Linked DNA regions of Danio rerio. The protein of the gene in region 2 purifies or fractionates together with the protein of the main gene of each other region. This does not show direct contact. Links are inferred from orthologs where the notes say so. Each region holds a gene or a part of one and is shown on either strand. Other genes may lie near its edges. The genes, in order: snx9b and ocrl.

Region 1 (2,614 bases), on a different chromosome or scaffold from region 2:
GCTGCGTATTGTGCACGAATGTTGCTGTATTGGTGTAATTTTAATATTTAAGAATAATGTAATATTCAAGATTTGTGAAGTCATGCAGCACCGGATAACTCAAAACAGCAACCATATGACTCTCCTTCAACTTTAAAAGACTCCGTAGTCATCTTGACAGCACAAGCACTGCAGGCACCTCAACGGAAACCCTGCTTCTGCTTTCAGTTGATTGGACAATGAAAAAGACGTGAGTGACGCAGCAACCTTTTTTCCACTCTCAACCGTGAGCGCACAGCGCGCAACGGCAAAACGCGAGGCGCAGCAAGCGGTTAAAAAACTACTTGTAAACCATTAGTACACCATGCGCCAGTGATTGAGTATCATGGGTAAAGTTCTTACTGTAGTATTTCTCACAAACGCTACGTGAAATCTGCTTCCTTTATGTCTGTTTGTTGTCTGACGCAGCCGAGGGAGGAGATTAAAGCACGCAGAAAGGTGTGAAACTGTGGGCGGGGAAGACTAGCCTTAAAGGCGCAGAACAGCAAAACCGCCACCCACTGCAAAAATGTATAAAACAGAATCTTATTAAAGGTATAATAGAAAATGTGGTGGATGTTTTGAGCTGAATCTTTACAGACACATTCTGGAGACACTAATGATTCATAAAAAATCTGAAAAAGGTGCCCTTTAACATGTAAATCACTCACATTTGACCCTTCATCCAAGTCTTCTGTAGACGCAGCATAAGTGGAGAATGCAACAACAACAATACATGTGTTGCGCATCTGTAGTGATGCTTAAAGTGAGTTCGCCTTTAAACACAGAGCTGTAAACTGTATAATGAATCTGATCAATCTGTCATCTCTGCAGCCGAAATGAACCACTTCCACAACAATCGCATCTATGACTACAACAGAGTGATGCAGCAGTATCTGGAGCAGCAAGTCAAATTCTACGAGATGGTAATGTTTCTCAAATACTTATTTTATTAAGTGAGGATGCATCAATAGGAAGGCTCAACAAAACCGTTGATTCCTGATTGAAAGCCGTATTCACAAATGTGCAATCACTTATTTGTTTTGGCAGATTGCAGAGAAGCTGCGGCAAGCTCACAGTCAGTTCACTACTATGTAATGCTGAATCGTCCGCCCAGAAGCTGCCTCATTTCTCTCTTCCTCTTACATGATTATTCACTCTTTCTATTCCTGTTATCTGTGTCATGATGTCAGTGCCATACAAATGCCAGGCCAAAGATAATCCAGCGCCCTGTGTGCAGACTGGCCCACCTCCGGTGTTTTAAAAACAAAAAGCAGCTACAGATTGTCTAAAAACAAGAAATAAATCTGATTATAAGAGGGCTATAATTATTCTAATCCTCAAGGTGTTGATTTCGATGATCCACATCTGTTATTAAGACCCTCACTGATGTAGAACTTTTATATAATGATCTAAACGTATAGCGGATTGTTTGAACTCATTGGCCAACCGAGTTTCATCGTGCCTTCTTTTGTGTAGAGCCGGCAAAACAACAACATGCTTTTTTTTTATCCTGTGCACTTTACTGTGGCCTTTCAGATGCATCATTCTGTTTGTGTTTGGCAACCGCAGTGTCCTTCATCAGAGGATTTTGCGGATGAAACAGGAGGGCTGGTCCTTTTTCCCCACAGAAGAGACATTCAGATGTTATTTTTCTCGCTCCCCAAAGCCAGATTACAGACATGCTTCCACCTCAGTGCAATTATCAGCAATTTCCTATCCTGTAAAAGTGAATTATACGTATAGATGCATGTTTTCCAGTTGTTCGTATATATATTTTTTATGTAAAGCAGTGTTTGCAAGTCTTTTGCACACAGAATGACAAATAAGATTGAGATTATGATTTAATAAATACTGATTTGTATACCATGCAATGCTTTTGTGTTCAATGAATGAGTGAATGTTTGTTCGCGTGCTTTTTATGGTTTAAATGGAAAGTTTGTGGATGGCATTTTAGGAAATGAGCAAACAATAATAGAAGGTTTTTTTTTTTTTCTAGAAACAGGATTTATATTTGGAGAATTAGTTTGTGTGAAGATTAGAATCCACAGATTTTTAGCCTATCAATGAGTCTTTATTTACTGGTGTAAATGTTTATTTGCTCAGTTTTTAAATTAATTTCAGTCATATTTCCTGAAAATGTTTGGTAACATTTTAGTCGCAACTCATACTATTAACTACTGGCTTATCACCTGCCTGTTATTAAGATATTAACTGTTCAATAGCAGTTATAAAGTATCATTTAATTCTACATCCCTAATCCTACCCAAAACCTAAACCCAACTTCTACCTTACTTCACTCTGTCCGAATGAACATGTTTGTAGCTTTGTATCACATTGGATAACAACTCACACTATAAAATAAATCAGATTTTCAGATTTGTTGACATGCAGAAAATTACATTTTCAAAAAACAAACAGAAACTGCAAATCAGGAGGAGATAAGAGGCTCAAGAGGTATGTTTTATACAGCGGTTTATATGGCGGTTTAAAAACCTTGAGTTTTCCAAACCGCTGTATGCCTTGAAAACGGTTATCATCACATGCCTAATACTTGTTAATTACATTTAATTCAAGTTCAAAATCAGAATTCAGT
Region 2 (3,839 bases):
GATTTATAGCAAATAAACAAATGCAAATATTATTACGCTTGCTTTTTGAGCCTTGTTGAGGGATTTCTTAAACGCCTATGATTTATCATCCGCTAAACAGAAAAGGCTGTGATTGACTCTGGATCCACAAGTAACGTTACTGCTGTAACAGCCAAGAGAGGAGACAAAACGTTGCCTGTACAGATATCTGCTTTTTAAGTAGTTGGAGCGTTATAACTACACGCGGTCTCCTCCCTTGCCATAGCAAGGTACCGCCATATAACGTATATGTGATAAATGATGTCAGTGCAGAATAACCGGTTACGATTATTACTGAACCGATACCGAATTGTTTGCGTCTGCATCGTGGTGCATTGAAAAAAAAACAACAATTAATTATGACACCCCTATTAAATGGTGAGGAATTATCCCTTTCAGTGATAGCCATATATAGACTGACTTCTATTTTTGTTAAAAGCACATTTAATAGAATCTTTGACTTTCTTTTTTTTTTATTGTCCACAAGTTGATATTTATCTTTGGCTTCACCACATAATTGCATCAGCATTCACATCACATAGATCACAAAAAGCACAAATACTTTCAACATCATTTTATAAATCACATTTAAAACTCAATTAACACTATTTATACTATTTAACCCAGTATTAAAATTCTAATGGCAGTTGGCACACATTTCTTTACTTGAGGTTGCCTAAAGCTTCTTTTTGATGGCAAAATCTTTGTCTTCGTATTGGCAGCTGAACCTCCAGAGAAAGACTAAACGTGTCTTCACCGATTTCATGGAAGGGGAGATCAATTTCATCCCAACTTACAAATATGACGCTAAATCAGATCGGTGGGACTCAAGGTAAAGTTCCTGAGACTGAACACTGTTTAATGATCACTTCATGGTAGAAAGCTCTTAAAATGAAGTAAATGATGCAAAACTTGCAAAGAAGCCCTCATTTTAAACAATGGTTGCAAGAACTCTTTCATTGTTACGTATATAGTCAGGGAAAAACCGGAAAAGTTTTTCAAAATATGGAATCCCTTTGTAGGATTTCTGAAAGAAGCTGATACAAATCTTTTCTCTGTATAACTTGTATCTTGTATCATCTGCTATTGATGTACTGTTATTCTATTTTGTACCTTTTATATTGTTAGTATATGTTCATGCTTTTATTAACGTATATAATTGTATTTTTTTGTTATTATTATTTATTTTACATTTCTTGTATGTTTGGTTTTGATTTCTTTAGAACATATCAGAAGTTCGAAAAGCATTAAAGAGCCCCTTTTATGCATTAAAAAAACATTGTATTTTGGTGTTGGGGGTCTCCAACAACAGGCTGATATGCATGCAAAGTCAAAAAACATTTTAGTTGTCCTATAATATGCATTTATTTTTACCTAACATACTAACGACTCCCATATGATTCATTCTCTAATTCATTTGTTGCCAAACCCCTCCTTGATTAGCACGATGCTAATCTTCGCTGATTGGTCAGATGACCCAGTCTATTGCGATTAGTCGACTCCGTTCGGCTTGAGACAGAGGGAAATGCCCAGCACAGCTTATAAACAAGTAGTCAGAGTGCAGAGTGTATGTGTGAGCCCAATGTAGGAGTGCATTAAAGCAATTGAGTTAAACACCAGCATATTGCTCTATTCTTAACCACAACACGCATTCAGTATTAATCCACAAAGTGGCAAAAGCTGAAATATTTTGAACTTGGCAGCACACGTGTGTAGGAACAGCTGATGGTGGCCATAGCAACGACAAATGGAAGTAGATTGCGAGCTCACAAACAAGTTTTAATCCATAAACATAACGGCACACGTCACAATTTCAACATGGTTTTAGATGCAATATGAGAATATAAAGTGTTAACCAGACACAGTACAAGCGGTTACAAGTAACAAAACACAATTAAATGCATAATTTGCAAGCTAGAGAAAGCAAGGAGGCAGCAGTTTTAATACTAGTTACTTACACTTGTAAAATGGAGGAAGAAACTGAACCATGAACTGTGTATTGTAAAGTTTCTGTCAGGCTCCGACAAAGATCCATACATCAGTAGTCATTTCTGGTCCTTCCTTTAACAAACGGCCTATAAATCCCCCGTTGTAAACATGCAGATTACTGAAGCACTCGTCTGAAAAATGAGAGGAACACAGCACAAGGCTGGGGCTATAATGCTAAGGTATTTTTTCTTCACAACCTCATCTTTGGGTAGAGAAAGTAACGAAAAATTTCCCTCACACTTCAGAGAACAGCTTCTTCGTGGCATGATTCAACCGGGATCTGCTATATTGTATAGTGTATATAGCTATAGTCCTCAGTTTATTTCTACAATGTTTGTGGATGGGGCCAGGGATTTCAACTTCCCCAGGTCTGCTCGTGCAACAAATGGGCGGGGCTTGAGTTCCATATCGATGTCACGCGGACACGGCTAAAGACTCATTCGAACCACTATGAGTCGACTCTATAATAGATGAATCGATTTTTTTAAACAAAGTGCACTTTTAGATTTAAGCTTCAGCTGGATATTTCTGTTCACTGCTGAGTTACACACTGCATGGAAGGTCGTTTTCAAAAACCCATAATAGGGGCTCTTTAAAGACAGTGTTTAAAAAAAAAAATTAAATGAATGTGGTGTATTTACAGTGGGAAGTGTCGGATTCCTGCTTGGTGCGACCGTATCCTATGGAGGGGAAGCAACGTGAAGCAGCTTCACTACCGCAGTCACATGGAGCTGAAGACCAGTGACCACAAACCTGTCAGCTCTGTCTTTAGTATCGGGGTGAGGTTTACTCCTTTCATCATCCTCCAATAATAGCATCGAGAGCGTCACATTGAATTTATGTGTGTGCTGCAGGTGAAGATGGTGATTGAGCAACGCTACAAAAAGATTTTCGAAGAGATTGTGCGGGACATGGACAGGATGGAAAATGACTTTCTGCCCTCTTTGTCCCTAACCCGACGGGAGGTGAGTAATGACAGAGAGCCAGACAGGGCAGTCTATCCTCAGACAAACTCACTCTGCATCGATCCACTGGCCTGCCTCCATTCTTTCTGAGGTCCCACTATATATTAGAGGAGGATCAATAATGTTTGCAGCATTTTAGCATTTCGCTGAACTGTGAGTGTGTTATGGGCTAATCATGTGTGCCATAATTGCTTTCAGAGTGGATGCATTAGGACAGTTTGCTTACAAATGGAAAAGATGGTTCAAATAAACTCATCACTTGGACTCTATAAGTTGGAGGATTTGAATGCAGAAATGAACACTTTGGCAGAGATGTATTCAATTGATCAAAAGTGACAGTATAGACATTTATAATGTAAAAAATTGACTGAATTTTAAGCTTTCTGTTCATAAAAGAGTTATTATTAACAATTTACATAGACTATTAAAGGGACAGTTCACCCAAAAATGAAAAATAACTCACTATTTATCAAGTATTTTTAAGTGAGTTTTGTTATTCTGTTGAACACAAATGAATACTTTGGAAGAATTCTGAAATCCTGTAACCATTGGCTTCATTTGCAGGAAACAAATGCTATGTATATTAAGGGTTACAGGTTTCCAACAATTTTTAAAGTATCTTTTTTTGTGTGTTCAACAGAAAAAAGAAACCCATAAAGGTTTGAAAATCAAAAGATGAATAAATTAGGACAATTTGCGTTTTTGTGTTATTAATTATATCTTAAATCCACATTATTCACTTCCAAAAGAAGACTATGTACGGTGCAGTGAAGTTTTGGATACTAAAAATATTTATGTGAAATGGCGAAAAAAAGAGTTTTGATATGCTTTTAAACACAAAAGTAGACATTTTGAAGAATGCTGGAA

Evidence for each region.
Region 1: the proteins of ocrl (region 2) and snx9b purify together in Homo sapiens (co-immunoprecipitation; 3 studies listed by BioGRID and IntAct, with this or other methods). This does not show direct contact. The link is inferred for Danio rerio from reciprocal best matches to the Homo sapiens genes OCRL and SNX9.

The regions. Positions count from the first base shown.
Region 1 is NC_133195.1:46,320,111-46,322,724, reverse strand, and holds the end of snx9b (sorting nexin-9b), read left to right. Parts: intron 1-852; coding exon 853-944; intron 945-1,068; coding exon 1,069-1,116; 3' UTR 1,117-1,892; downstream 1,893-2,614. UniProt on the Homo sapiens protein: Involved in endocytosis and intracellular vesicle trafficking, both during interphase and at the end of mitosis. Required for efficient progress through mitosis and cytokinesis. Required for normal formation of the cleavage furrow at the end of mitosis.
Region 2 is NC_133189.1:38,413,870-38,417,708, reverse strand, and holds part of ocrl (inositol polyphosphate 5-phosphatase OCRL), read left to right. Parts: intron 1-740; coding exon 741-850; intron 851-2,650; coding exon 2,651-2,786; intron 2,787-2,861; coding exon 2,862-2,972; intron 2,973-3,839. UniProt on the Homo sapiens protein: Catalyzes the hydrolysis of the 5-position phosphate of phosphatidylinositol 4,5-bisphosphate (PtdIns(4,5)P2) and phosphatidylinositol-3,4,5-bisphosphate (PtdIns(3,4,5)P3), with the greatest catalytic activity towards PtdIns(4,5)P2.